Rattus norvegicus: one gene and its partners. The protein of the gene in region 4 interacts with the protein of the main gene of each other region in a biochemical or structural test. Links are inferred from orthologs where the notes say so. Each region holds a gene or a part of one and is shown on either strand. Other genes may lie near its edges.

The links.
Region 1: the proteins of Map4k1 (region 4) and Crk form a complex in vitro, tested with the Homo sapiens proteins (2 studies listed by BioGRID). The link is inferred for Rattus norvegicus from reciprocal best matches to the Homo sapiens genes MAP4K1 and CRK.
Region 2: the proteins of Map4k1 (region 4) and Nck1 form a complex in vitro, tested with the Homo sapiens proteins (2 studies listed by BioGRID, with this or other methods). The link is inferred for Rattus norvegicus from reciprocal best matches to the Homo sapiens genes MAP4K1 and NCK1.
Region 3: the proteins of Map4k1 (region 4) and Crkl form a complex in vitro, tested with the Homo sapiens proteins (2 studies listed by BioGRID). The link is inferred for Rattus norvegicus from reciprocal best matches to the Homo sapiens genes MAP4K1 and CRKL.

The regions. Positions count from the first base shown.
Region 1 is NC_086028.1:61,027,708-61,031,724, forward strand, and holds the start of Crk (adapter molecule crk), read left to right. Parts: upstream 1-1,209; 5' UTR 1,210-1,248; coding exon 1,249-1,489; intron 1,490-4,017. UniProt on the Homo sapiens protein: Involved in cell branching and adhesion mediated by BCAR1-CRK-RAPGEF1 signaling and activation of RAP1.
Region 2 is NC_086026.1:109,955,440-109,959,445, forward strand, and holds the start of Nck1 (cytoplasmic protein NCK1), read right to left. Parts: upstream 2,809-4,006; 5' UTR 2,692-2,808; intron 2,649-2,691; exon of another isoform or gene 1,694-2,648; intron 1-1,693. UniProt on the Homo sapiens protein: Adapter protein which associates with tyrosine-phosphorylated growth factor receptors, such as KDR and PDGFRB, or their cellular substrates. Maintains low levels of EIF2S1 phosphorylation by promoting its dephosphorylation by PP1.
Region 3 is NC_086029.1:97,064,650-97,068,591, forward strand, and holds the start of Crkl (crk-like protein), read right to left. Parts: upstream 2,809-3,942; 5' UTR 2,327-2,808; coding exon 2,016-2,326; intron 1-2,015. UniProt on the Homo sapiens protein: May mediate the transduction of intracellular signals.
Region 4 is NC_086019.1:93,418,028-93,420,504, reverse strand, and holds the end of Map4k1 (mitogen-activated protein kinase kinase kinase kinase 1), read right to left. Parts: intron 2,178-2,477; coding exon 2,115-2,177; intron 2,036-2,114; coding exon 1,946-2,035; intron 1,861-1,945; coding exon 1,790-1,860; intron 1,444-1,789; coding exon 1,388-1,443; intron 692-1,387; coding exon 622-691; 3' UTR 512-621; downstream 1-511. Other genes in the region: Ryr1 (ryanodine receptor 1), read left to right, coding at 1-15, 216-311. UniProt on the Homo sapiens protein: Serine/threonine-protein kinase, which plays a role in the response to environmental stress. Appears to act upstream of the JUN N-terminal pathway.

The DNA of each region.
Region 1 (4,017 bases), on a different chromosome or scaffold from region 4:
GTCTCACTATATACAAAACGCAGTAGTAGTGGCTAGGCAGAGGTGGTGCATACCTTTGATCCCAGCACTGGGGAGGCAGAGGCAGGTGGATCTTTGAGTTCAAGGTCAGCCTGCTCTATAAAGTGAGTTCCAGGAGAGCAAGAGCTATCAGAGAAACCCTATCCTGAACACCCCACTCCCCAGTATTTTTTCATTAAAAATTTTTTTTGAGATAGATGATGATCATGAAGGAAGTGAAACTAGGAGATTCCTCTGGCTACAAATGAGAGTTTAAAAGGATCTGGCTGGTTGACATGGGAGCTCCCATAGAGAGAACTCCATTGCTTTGCCTGGCTGGACATTTTGTTTTCTTTGCCTTAAGTACCCTTCCCCACTTGCCATTCAACACCGAACCATTCAACCTACACCATCTCATCTGTGGACTCCTTGTTCTTATTTGCTTTCGTTTTATAATATAGGGCCTGAAACACAGTGATCCTCCTGTCTCAGTTTCCTAAGGGTTGGGATTACTGTCATAGTCACTTTACCCGGCCCTTGGATTCCTCTAGGATTACTTAGTTGATTTCCTTGTGTCTCTGTTTCCCATCACAGCAGACATTAATGGTTTCCTGATCCCTCCCACTGGTCTGTGAATTCGGTGACTTAAGGCTCAGTCTAGGTCAGTACTGCACCTGCAAGGCAAATGTGTTATCTATGGCTACTCCTAGATAGCAAGAACTTCGACTGACCTCCGGGGAAACCGAAGGAAACACCGGGAAAGACCAGCTTGTTAGGGAGCTTTGAGGGCATCCTGGGACCACATCATCTTTTTTACTCCAGTCCTTTTACTGGAGCTGCTACCTGTAGGTCCTGGGAGAAAGACCGCCTCTACCAATCTGTCAAACACCAGTTAGTCAAACACCAGTCAGTCTGAAGATTGAGGCTCCGCCCCTTAAACCTAGACTCCGCCTCCCCATCCTCCGCCGTTGGGGTTCTGGACCGGGCGGCGACGCCCATGAGGACGCATGCGCACTGCGGGCCCCAAGGACTCCGTTTCCCTTCTCCCAATGGCGGGCGGCGGTCCCCTTCCCGGCAGCCTCCCTCGGGTAGAGAGCGCGTCATTTCCGGTGGGGAAGGCCCGCGGCTGCCGCCGCCATTTCGGGCGCTGCTGGGAGGCTTACACCGGAGCCGGTCCGCTGGGCGGCGGGCGCCAGGGCTGGAGGGGCGCGCGTGCCGGCGGCGGCCCAGCGTGAAGGCGCGGAGGCGGCCATGGCAGGCAACTTCGACTCGGAGGAGCGGAGTAGCTGGTACTGGGGCCGCTTGAGCCGGCAGGAGGCGGTGGCGCTATTGCAGGGCCAGCGGCACGGGGTTTTCCTGGTGCGGGACTCGAGCACCAGCCCCGGGGACTATGTGCTCAGCGTCTCCGAAAACTCGCGCGTCTCCCACTACATCATCAACAGCAGCGGCCCGCGCCCTCCAGTGCCTCCGTCGCCCGCTCAGCCTCCGCCGGGTGAGGGACAGACGGGCGGGAGGCCCGGGCGGGGGTGAAGGCCCTAGAACCCTGGTCGGCTGCAGGAGGGACGTGGGCAGAGAGGGCTGGAGTGAACCTGGCGGGGGAGCTGCCTTCTGACCAAGCTGGTTCCCACCGATGAGCGGGATTGTGGGGGAGGAGGAGCTGCTCACCGAGGCCTCTGGGTGTGCCTTGGGAGCCGGGGAAGGGGAACTGCTGCGGCCCCGGGGTGGGGCTGGGCGCCAGGGTCAGGCCCAAGGGCAGGGCAGGGCAGGGCCAGGCAACTTGGGGACAAAGAGTTAATGGGGATGTTGCGGGGACATCATTTGGCAGAGATGCCCAGAATGGATCTGCTAATCCTACAAGTGGCTTTTAGGCTTGAAACGTTTCCTGCAGTGTTAGAGCTGGGTTTGGCCATACTCCCCTGGTGGCCTTCGGTAGGAAGTCACCACGTACTTGGCTGGCTGGGAGGGATGGAGACACCCTCAGGAAGCCGGTCAGCTTTTTCCTTTCTTGGGCATTTTTCCAAAATCTTTTTACCGTGCTCTTCCCTTGTGGAAGGTGGTGAACTAAGTGACTTGGTAATAGAAAAAAAGCTTTCTGTGACCAGCCCAGCGTAATTGAAGCCTAGCTGGCAAATTGTGTCCAAGAGGTTTTAAGTGTCCAAAAGACTGCCCGCTGCACGTAGAGTTTCTAGTTTCAAAGTGATTAGTGGAGGAAGGTTTTTTTTTTCCTTTAGGAAATAAACCAAGCATAGGCCAGGGAGAACAACCTTGGAAGTGAATGGAATTTCATTCTTCCTGGGCTTAAACAGTGTCAGTCAACGTACTTCTGGGTCTTTTCTTGCTAAGTTGGTGCTGTGGTCAAAATCTTCCAGGATATGAGAGCAGACCTAGCTGGCAGATACACCAAGAATAATTATCCCGCTGTGTTTTCCTCATCGAGGACCATTGAGTTGTAATTGTCTCAGCTGTATTATTGCAGTTGTCTTGGCAATGTTAAGGAAATTCATGCACTTCGTCCTTGAAGTTTGTGAGATGCACAGTGATTCTGAGATTACTGTTGTCTCTGTGTGTTGGCACCAAGCTTCTTGCTTTCTGGATGTTTGAAGTGCAAGCTTGTTCCTCCTAGAGCTGAGCTAATCTCATGAATGGAGACTCCCTGGTTAGCCGTTTAGTAGACCTCCTTTTAGGATCATCCTAATTTAGACTTACTCCCTTTGGCCACAAATGAGGAGGTAGAGGTGGGATAAACAGTTCTTGGTGTTGGCACACAAGTAAGGGGAAAATTTGAGTACTGAAGTCTTCTTAGTCTTTTTGTGTCTGTTGGTTTAATAATATAAAATCAGATACAACACAATTGCCCTAAACATAGTAAATTCTATTTTTGTGCTATCTGTAAAATAATCTGTTGTTTTGTGTTAAGGGCAGTAGTAAGATGAAATGTTATTGTTGAAATTCAATTCTCAGCCAAGTTTCATAATTCATGCTTTTAATCCCAGCACCTAGGAGGCTGAGGCAAGATTTTACAAGTTCCAGGTCATCTGGGAAACTTAGCAAGATTCTGCCTCAAAATAAAAAGTTATGTTAGGGGGTGTGACTAGGGATATAGTTGAGTGGTAGTTTATTTGCCTGACATTTGGGGAGGCTAGGTTTTATTCCCAATAGCTGGGGGTGAGGGACTCGGTCCTCAGTTTTCTCCTTGTTTGAAAATGTGGGACTAGCATCAGGCAGGCTTGTGGTTTTATATCTCGGTAGCTCCACCTTTTCAAAATAGGTGTTTGGCCTAGGAGAGGAGAAGATTGCCAGTTTGTGGGTTAGGTGTGGAAAGTTCATTGGCTTTGTGGCAATTTGTTCTGTCGTGTTCCCCATTTTCTCTGTAGGACACTCAATTCACTTGCTGTCTTTATGATGGTCACTTAATCGCTGTTCTGCCATCCATTAAACTGTTTTTCTTTTGAAGCCACACAGGAATTACTTGAGTTTTAGAGAGACATATATAATTTTAATAGTTTACACTTATTGACTGACTATTGTATGCTACATGCTTTGCTAAATGTGCCTTATATAATTCACCATCAGTAAAACAATCCAATGAGTGAAATTCTGCAATCTCCATTTATTAAAACATTTTCATTTGGAGGTGGGGAGAAGAACTAGAAATCCAGTAACCTGTAACATTTAGCATATAAACCAGAATTTGAACTAGACAGTGTGACCTGAGAACTGACTATTGTATAATTTTGGTATTCTTTGTTTATTTGCTTTGGAATCCCTGGGGTGCACATAGGGAACTCCATTCTTTTGTTTTGAAACAGGGTTTCACTCTGCAGCCCTAGCTGGTCTGCAACCATATAAACTAGGCTGGCTTTGAACTCAGGAGAATTCTTGCTTCTGCCATCTGAGTGCTCTGAGATCCCGCAGAGTGGCTCAGTAGGCAAAAGCACAGCTTTGCCAGCTTGAGGGTCTTGTTTGATCCTCAATCCCGGGGTTGGATAAGAGAAGGAACACCTCAGAGTTGTCCTGACT
Region 2 (4,006 bases), on a different chromosome or scaffold from region 4:
ATACACACACACACACACACACACACACACACTTTTTAAAATGTTTAACTATTTGTAAAAACTATAACTCTGGTTGGGTGTCGGATGCCTCTGCAGGTAAAGGTACCTGCTGCCAAGCCTACAAACCTGAGTTCAAGTCAAGGGACCTATGTGGTGGACAGACAACTGACTCCCTCAAGCTGTCCTCTGACTCTGCCATAAGCACATTGCCTGTCCACCCACCCCCCACATACACACACACACACAAACAAAAATGTAATAATCTTTTTTAAAAAATAGAACTTTAGACTGATGATATAACTCAGTGGTTTATGAGAAGCCATGGATCTGACCCCAAAACTGAGGGAAGGAAAGAGTCAGGAAGGGGAAAGAGAAGAGAGGGGTGAGGAAGGGAGGAAGGAGATTATGGAAGGGAGACTTTTACTTTGCTACTTTAGTAATCTGCAGACAACTTTCTTCCTGTGCTAGGACAGATGGTTCAGTGGTTAAGAGCTCTAGCAGAGGATCTCCGTTCTGTTCCCAGAACCCACACCACATGCTGTGCGCTTCTATGTAGGCAAAACACTCAAACGCATAAAATAAAAATAAACTCTTAAAAGACTGAAATCTAGACGAAAGATATTACTAGTGTCTAAACAGTAAAAATATGTTCAAAGTCGTATTTTAAGATCAGCACAGGCAGAACACATTTGTGAACACCCAGGCAGAAAACCCAGCTAGGGCAAGTGAGCAGTTCAGAAGCGGAAATTTAAACAATATATAAGAATAGGAAGGGAAGGTTTTTTTGTTTTTTGTTTTTTTTTTTTTAAAGAAAACGACTACAAAAAAATAGGACACTGTTAAAGGTTTATGTCTGGGTTACTGAAAGCATGTTACAGAATGTATCACCAAAGAAAGACAGCGCATGCATCAGTTTTGCAGAGAAGACTTTTTAAAGATTTATTTATTTTATGTACATAAGTACACTGTTGCTATCTTCAGACACACCAGAAGAGGGCATCGGATCCCATTACAGATGGTTGTGAGCCACCATGTGGTTGCTGGGAGTTGAACGCAGGACCTTTGGAAGAGGAGTCAGTGCTCTTAACCACTGAGCCATCTCTGCAGCCCCAGGGAAGACTTTTAAGTTTTATTTCTCAGACAGATTAAAGTGAGAATCATCCGGGCCTGTCAAACTTTCTTCAAACTGTTGGATTTGTTAAATGTTCAGTAATTTCTAATTTTAAGTTTCCTTCAATTTTACTTAACAGTGAAATAATCATTGGTTTTCTGGCATTGAAACCATGCATTCTTCCAAATACTACCAAGGTGAATTCATTTTTTTTTTCCAAGTTTTCCTGAAAAGGAATTTATTTACAACAATAATCACATCAAGCCTTGAACTCTAAAACTAAGTTCTCAAATTATGAAAGTCAGCAGCATAAACTATCACTCAGTGTTTAATAAAAGCAATACATTGATATGCCAACTTGTTTACATAGGATCTGTAAGGCTTGGAAAACCAAAACAAAAAATGCTTGACAGGGAGGCAAGTCTTTTCAAAGTTAATGTTCATACATACAGCTGAGACATCAACACAATGCATGCTTAAGTTATTCTAGCCAATTCCTACAGAAGCTCTTCCCAGAGAAAACATCCAATGTGAGCATGATGAAAAAAGTACTAATCAGCCAATGCATATGCTTTGACTTACTATCACGATGCGGAGAGAAGGTCTACTTAAAAACAAGACTGAAAATTATCAAACCAAACTGTCTTCTTGGACTCTCTGTTCATGTGGTGACGTCGCTAAAGGCTGAAAGCTTGCAACTGATTTCCAGGGTGCTTAAGAAATCGTTAAGGCTGATTGATCATCAAGCTATCAAAGTAACTCTTTTGAAAATGAACACTTCTTGCAAAACTTTACCCGTTTTGGGCTGAACACTGATCTCACTGCTCCCCACCCAAGATGGGGGTCAGGAAGTTTTCTTCATCTCGTTCTTTCCTAACTCCTATGGATTCTTACCTAACTAAAGGGCAGTATTGTCTTTGGGTGATTTCAGCTCCGCTCGACATTAACCAAGCGATAATGTTAAGATGATGTTACGGTCCTCAACCCTGAACAAAAAACCAGCTTCCTTCCAACCCAGCTGTTAACAGACTGAACCGAACTAGTGCGGAAACCCGTACGAAAACCAACCCAATGGGCTGTTTTTCCTGGACCTACCCCACCTCAACAGCCACCCCAGACAACCCCATCTCTCCTGCTCTGGAACGGGAGGGGGAGGGGAGGGCGCGCCCGAGGATGTCCCCCCTCACGGCTTCCTCCGGTTGGCGGCTGGAGGTGAGAGCGCCCTTCCTGCCTGCCAGCCCGCGTCCCTACCGTCCCGGCCTCGGACACACCACAGACCGCGACAGGGCTTTCTGAGAACCGCCGAGACAGCGCGCCGCACACTTGCCTGCTCGGCTCCCCGAGCAGGGCTCGTAGCTCAGGCCAGAGGCCGCGCGGGGTCACCGGGCGGCACCGCGGACACCGGAGCTCCGCCGAGCGGCCTCCCCGCCCCCTCCGCTCCGCTCCGCCGCCAGCAGACGGCGCCCCCGGGCTAACTTCGCCGGGGAAGAGGAAGCGACCAGAGACTAGCAGGCAGCGCGGACAGACTAGGAGACCGAAAGGACGGTGCGTGTGTCCGCACGCGGGCAAGGCCATCTCACCTTCCCTCCGCCGAGCCCGCGGCTCCAGTCACCTGAGGACTGCACCGGGACGCCACCGCGGCTGGCCGGATGCCGTTACCGCACGAGGCCTGTGCTGCGCCGCCGCGTAGCTCTCAGAGAGGGGCGGGGCGCGCGCAACCGGTGGGCGGACCGTTGCGGGCAGGAAACCCGCTCCACACCTAACCTAATAGGCTCCTTCGCCTCCGGCGCCCGCCCCTGATTCGTCAGAGGAATGAGCCGCTCCCTGATTGGGCGAACGGGCTTGTCACTCAAGCGCGGCGCTCACTGTTCAGTGAGCTGAGGCTGCGCAGCGTTTGGACAGGAGAAGTTGAGGTTCGCTGGGCCCCACTGCCTTTTTCTCCCCCAGCTTCCTCGGTAGCTGGTTACTCTCCGCCTCTCCAAGCCCTACTAAAACCTGTCATTATAATCGCTCATTAATGTCGAACAGTGGTCCCGAGTTCAACCCAAACTACTCTGGTTCCTGCTTCTGAAAGGGCCGACCACCTACAGATCTTAGGGACAGAGAGCGACAAAGAAAAATCAAGCCTCGGAGAAAATGTAAAATGTTTGTTAACTAAAACCACAACCAAAATAAGCTGTGTGAGGAACTTCCGAGTGCCCTGGCGCGTGGGTAGCCTTCACTCTCCGCTTCCAGTTCTGTGAAAAGCACTGTTACCTTTGCCCTTGGGTTGAGCGTGGCAGTGGCACAGCCCCAGCCACCCGCTAAGCCATTAAGAAATCGATTCTCCTTCCCAATTAGCCCTACAGCCACCAATAACCTGCCTCACTATTTCCGAACACCCTTGCTACTTAGTATAGCTGTGGCACCTAAAAGCAGCACTCTAGGTTAGGTAACTTTATTGAAACACGGGTTTTGCCTCCGGCGTAGCTGCACCCATATACCTAGATTGCAAAGTCTATTACAAGAGGAACTGTGTCAGCACCCACCCACCCTCACTCCATGCCTAGCACAACATCATCGTCAATAATCGAGGAATTAATACATCTTCCTTTCCCCTTTTATTCATTTTTATTTTTTGTGTGTTCGAGTGTTTGGTGTACATGTGTACTTGTGTATCATGTGCGTGCCTGCTACCCCTGGAGGCCAAAAGAGGATATAGGATCCGCAGAAAAAAAGTTACAGATGGTTTTGAACTACCCTGTGGGTGCTGGGAATGAAACTGGGGTCCCTTGGAAAACTGGCGCTCTTAGTCACTGAACCACCTCTCCACCCCTTCCTTCCGCTGTAATACAGGTCCTACCGGTAAGTCCTAAAAAGTTACTTCTCTGCCTTTAACCTAGTTGCATGTTAATA
Region 3 (3,942 bases), on a different chromosome or scaffold from region 4:
AATTTCTTTACCATACAACATAAGATCAATTAGGAGAATATCAGGGGGTTGGGGATTTAGCTCAGTGGTAGAGCGCTTGCCTAGGAAGCACAAGGCCCTGGGTTCGGTCCCCAGCTCCGAAAAAAAGAACCAAAAAAAAAAAAAAAAAAGGAGAATATCAGTAATTATTACATTTAAGTTGAGATACTAAAAGAGTATCCCTCAAGGTACACTGCCATCTGTTCTAAAATTTAAAATGTACAATTTGCAGCTATACAAGGGACAGTTATATCAAATTTGGAATAATTATGACTTGGTTATTTCTTTCATTTGGAAATTAAGCAAGACAGAAAAGATAGGAATGCATGTCAAGTAGAGCTAAGGAAAAACTCAGGAAATTACATTTGGTACCTGAGAGACACATGAAGTAGAGTAAGATCTGTAAATAGCAGGAAGCCACTGCAGTATTCATTCCCCTCTTTGAGGTGACTCTAATAACTTAGACTTTCTCCAATACCTGTCACATGCTGCAAGCATGTTTTAATAAAGGCCCGAAGTCAATAATATAATCCACTTCCACAAATAAGAGAGTAATTTACTTAGCTGTATCACCCAACATTATCCTTCCTAGGTTTCTCCAAGCTCTTACACCTTCCAGCATCGCCTAGGAACTTCATGTTTCACAGAACTTGAGTGTCCTCCTCTTGCTAGCATTACTCTTTACAATCACCTTTCTGTGTTCACATTTTTAAAACGTACTTGTGTGAGGATACTCGCTTGCCATGATGCGCATACCGGGCTAAGGGACAGCTCTGTGACTCAGCTCTCTCCTTCCACGCTTGCGTGGGTCTGGGGACCACACTTTCCCTCCTCATCACCACTTAGCCCTTCTCCACACTCTAAAATCCAGAGTTTGGCCGTTAACCGTACATACATTCACTGTACCATCCCAGCTTATTCTTCTATCCTCAAGAAGAAACTCTGGATTTAAGTAGGTGCCTTTAATTAATTATACTATCTTTTCAATTTCAAAGTCCTGAGCAAATTTCACCTCTATGAAGTCACCTCACCTTAAATCTAAATCAGTCCTCAATTCTTTCTTAGAATAGCTTAGAAATAAACGGGGCAGTAAAATATCTTTTAAAGTGTCTAGATATGTTTTCAATTAACACTTGTATCATTTGATGATATTATTAGGAAAATTAAAGCAAATTATAAAATAATGCATTTTAATTGAAAAAGAGAACACTTGGGGATCAGTGTCTTTTTCTTTAAGGCAGGGTCTTGCTACAGCTCAGTTTGGCTTGGAATCAAGGTCCTCTTTCCTTAGAGGATTAGGGGCGTGTATCTCTCCCGTCTAGCGCTACTTGGGTGTCTTTAAAGTATATGTTAAACAACTAGACTTAATTACAAAAAAACCCCAAAAAAACAGAATTAATGTAGAATGAAGGTAAATACACTTTGCACCCTGCGGAAGGAACAGTGATGATACAAATTCCCTCAAATAAAACCTCAATCTCTTTCCTTGGTAATTCCAGTTTTTTGGTTTTTTGTTTTTTTAAGTGCTACAGCATCAGATTCTGAGATTTCTACCCTTTCGATCTATTTTAAGGATTATTCCAAAGGCTGAAGGCCAGTTAGCTGACAGATGCAGGAGCTACAAAAACCTTAAATGGTGTACATGAATTTCGAGAAAGTAGTAGTCATGGCTATCTTCAGAAACTCAAGATAGTCTATATATTTTAACGTCGTTAATAAGAATTTTGCACTAGTATTACAGTCAACTAAAGTGACAAAACTATGTATGTGTGGGCTTGGGGGTGGTGGTGATTTAAACAATGCAAGCACTACTAAATGTCTAAATAAAATGCATCCTTTCATCCAACCCAGATCCTGACATTGGCCTTCCAATCCGAATGTCTTCTGGTTCAGAATGAGAAAAGGGAGTATCCCTTACCCCCACCCCCAAATTTCAATCTTTGACCGACCCTCCGCAGGTCAGGTTCCGAGCCCGAAAAGGGCAGGAGCTCGCCTACCTGGGCGCTGGTTCGATTAAGGTGGTAGTATCCAGGTAGTGGATCTTGTAGAACTCCAGCAAGGCCGGCAAATGGTCAAACTCCTGGTCCCCGATCTTAAAGCGGCGGTTGGGCAGGGAGTTGATGATGTAGTGCGAGACACGCGAGTTCTCGGACACGGACAGTACATAGTCCCCAGGGCAGGTAGATGAGTCCCGGACTAGGAACATGCCATGGCGCTGGCCCTGGAGACGGGTCTGCGCCTCCTGGCGAGACACTGGCCCCATGTACCAGGCAGAACGGTCTGAAGAATCAAACCTGGCGGAGGACATGGTGTTGGGCCCGGGGATGGGCGGCGTCTGCTGCTCTCGCTTGCTCTGGAAGCCTTTACCCGCTGTCGGCTTTGGGGTCGAGGAAGGGCCTCTTCTCGAACACTTCGAGGAACAATCAGAGGGCTTGGTCAGGACGTTCCTCTAGGCTCCGGGCCCCGCAGCATCCTCCGCCACCGCCCTCCTGCACAGGGCCGCCTCTCGGAGAGAGCCGGTCCGGGAACAGTGGGCAAAACCCCTGGGTCGAGGTGGGCGAAACAGAGCAGTAGCAGAGGCCGCCTCGGGCTTCTCAGCTGTCCGGAGTAGGATCCAGCGACTTCTGTCCTGGAAGCCGCCGGCTCCGCAGCCTCAAGAGCCCGCACGGTTCCTCGCCGTCACACGAAGCACCGCACTCCAACAACAGTCGCGCCTCCCGGACCGTCCTACCCTACCCGTTCCCAATAGCCACAGCAACAAAATGGCGGACGCGGGAGAAGCGACCGGGCACCTCCCCCTTGGTCCAGCGTACTCTATCTGCGCTTGCGCGGAGCTGGGCGCTACCCCCACCGCAGGGGCTCTTCCTTTGACGTCACTGGGCGCGGCCAATCAGGAGTGCGTTCGCGAGGGTTCCAGCCTAAGCCACTCGTGCGGGCTCCCGCGTTCCGGGAGGAGGCAGAGGGTCAAGCCCTTCCTGGATCGCAAAGCAGCCTCTGAGTGGCTGCTGCTGTAAGGCCTACCGGGCTTAGCAGGAAAACAACTGGACCCGAGAGGGAACAGCGTTTTGAAAACCTGTTTCTGGGAACAAAGCATAGCGTGATGGCTGGATGTCTGGACAGGGAGGCGTGGCCCTCAGGTGATTTTTAAGCCTGAAGGCCCTGATAAGTCAGGTGGCTTAGGAAGGGCATGACCTAGGCAGTGAGTTGACCATCAAATAGGTTACTGAATAACGCCTACCCTAAGTGATCCTACTTGGTACACGTGGAATGATGGTGAAGGTCAGTTTGACTAATGCTTTAAGACGAGGACAGTGTGATGATGGTGACTTGGCCACTTCAGGCTCTGAGATGTAGCAAGAGAAATGCAACACTTGTATCTGGCTTGCAGGTTTTGCCTGCTCCAGACCTTTGGTCTCTCTCCAAAAGTTCATTTCCTGCCATTCAGCCGTTCCAGCTGTGCCTTCCCAACATGTTTTCTCTCTCCAACAACACTAGGACCGATCTCTCTATCTATCTATCTTTCTTTCTTTCTTTCTTTCTTTCTTTCTTTCTTTATTTATTTATTTATTTATTTATCTATCAACCAATCAAGATAGGAATTCTCTGTGTGCCCCTGGCTATCCAGGAACTAACTATAAACCAGGCTGGCTTCAAATTCACATCTACTGGGCTCTGCCTTCCCTGTGCTTGAATTAAAGATGTGAGCCACCACTAACAGGACAGGATGAAATTTTATTACAACAGGAATACTGTCTTATTTTGCCCGCCTTAAAACCACATCTAGTCTTGAATGATCAGAAAATTGTTAAACGAATGACCATTGTGAAAAATCTACAAAAAACTGATGCTGGATTATTGGTCACAGCATTCCCAAATTAGATGAACAGGAAGGCATGTCCCAGACCAGTGATGGTGGCACTACCA
Region 4 (2,477 bases):
GAGCACACCGGTCAGGTAAGAGGTGCTAATGAGGGACCAGTAGGGGACATGGCTCAAGCTATTCCGGCAGGCTGTTCTCTAGTTACCCTCATGTACCCAGCAAACTAGTCTTCAGAGAGGACACTAGTCTTCAGAGAGGACGATCAGCAGGCAGCAGAGAATCCTTTGAGGCATGTGAAGATGTGACCAAGAGCCCCTTATCCTCTCAACCCTAGGAGTCATATGTCTGGAAGATGTACCAGGAGAGGTGCTGGGACTTCTTCCCTGCTGGAGACTGTTTCCGAAAGCAGTATGAGGACCAGCTTGGCTGAGGTCTGCAGCTGGCCCTCCCCCACCTCAAGTGCCTTCTCCCACTGCAAGCTCCTCCCCAGGCAGCTGGGGACAGGTGATCCTGAACTAGACCAATAAAGCCTCTGCTACACCCCCAGCCTCATTGTGTGGGGTCATTTAAATCTGGGGGGGGCGGGTGGGAGGGGGGCTAGGCATCCAGAAATCTCTCCCCCAAGAATTTCAAGATGACAAGACTAAAGTCAAGTTTATTGGGAGATAAGGACATGTTGTGACCACTAGTGTGTCCCTTAGGGTCTGCAGGTGTCCGTTTCTCAATGCCCTCTCAATGGTTCATTCCTGGATGTAGAGGTTGCTGGGGGCGGTAGGGTCATCCGTGGGCCGTGTTTCCACCACTACAGGCCTGAAGAAGACGAAGGTCAAGTCATTCACTCGTTCATTCTCAGAGTAGTTAACAGAAACTGCCCCATCCCAATGCGGGCTCTGACAATGACTTGGTGACATATGCCTACAATCCCAACAACTGGGAGGCTGAAGCAGGCAGATCTGGAGGCCAGGGTCATCCTCAGCTACATAGGGAATCTGAGGTTAGCCTGAGCTATAAAACCCTGTCTCAGAAAAGAAAAGAAAAAAAAAAAAGAGGGCTGGCAAGGTGGCTCAACAGGCAAAGGTGATTGTCACCAAATATAATGACCTAAGTTCAATCTCTGTGACCCACATGGTAGAAAGAGAGCGTCCCCTCCTAAAGGTGTCCTCTGATCTCCAGGTGCCCTCCGTGCCACATGCCCCCCAAACCCCAATGTGGAAAAAGAGAAGAGGGGATTGGAGACCAACCAGGGCTACATAGGCTATCTCATAGCAACAGCAGTGGGGAGCCTTGGGGAGTTCACACCCCACCTGAATGGTAAACTAAAGGCGTGCAGGGAAGCAGAGTGCAGGGGCTTCTTCTGAGGGCAGCCAAGGCTCCCGAGAGTCACCGTGGAGCCGGAGCCTCGGGAGGGAACCCAGTGAGAGAACATGGAAGGGTTTTCTAGGCCACGGAAACCTCACTCCGCACCGCCAGCCTCTCTATTCCCCATTCATCCCTCCACCGCCATACCTCGGGGAGCAGAGCAGACGGAAGGTGAGGGTGGGATCTCTCAGCTCCTGCAGCGGCTGTGGAGAAAGTGTGTTTGTGTCCATACTGAGAAGTAGGACCTCCCCTCTCCCTACAAACATGACTTCCTCGGGGTAAGTCTAACTCCAGAAGCTGGGTGACTTTGAGCATGTGGCTTAAACGGCGCCCTATCTGATAGGCAACTGTACTGTAAAGAGTAAGTCAGGAACCAGGGAAGCCCGTAGAGTGCTCTGTGAGGTGAGCCAGTTTCCACTTAGGTGACAATGTGTGCCTTGAGACATCCCAACAGGAGTCTCTGTTCTGACACAGGGCTTCTCCAAGCCCATTCAAAGGATGAGAAGGTTGAGGTTGAGGACAAGGGAGTGGTGTGAACTGAGAGCCTACCTGTTCCGAGTCTGGAGCCCACACCTGAACTCCGTGCTTCCAGAAGGCCTGGAGTCGATCTCCAACCATTGCTAAAGAGGAAGCAGTTGCCTGTGACCCTGACTGAGGTCACAGAGCGCCCACCCTTGACCCTGGGCCCTCCCATCCAACACATACCCACAGCCTCGACCGCTTCTGTCATGGGGATCTCAGGGGTGCGAAGCCCGGGAGCTGGTGCCCCCTCCGGGGTCACTAGCTTCAGAGAGCCTGGAAGGAAGTGGAAGGAAGGTTTTGTGCACAAAGACCTGGGTTGAGGACCAGGAAGGGAAGAGAGGAAGGCTCTTACCATCCATCAACACCATCACCATGTCTTCCTTTACTTGGATCACCTGCACTGGTCCCTTGTGCTCTGTGAGAGAAGCAGGGGCTTAAGAACTAACTGTCTGGCTCTGTTCACTTAGCACCCCTCAGGTCCCCTGCCTGGCACATACGCTCCACCCAGTTATGACCGGTCAAGGAAGACCACACATCCTACCCAGCCACTCTGCCCTTCCCCTTCCCTGGTGCCTTAACCTGTAGCCCCACCTTGTCTTGCAGCCCCTTCTCACGAGCGTTTCCTTTTCTGAAGCCACGCCCCTTTCCTGAAGCCCCGCCCACTCCTGCAGCCCTGCCCCTTCCCTGCAGCCGGAACCCCCTCCCTGCGGCCCCG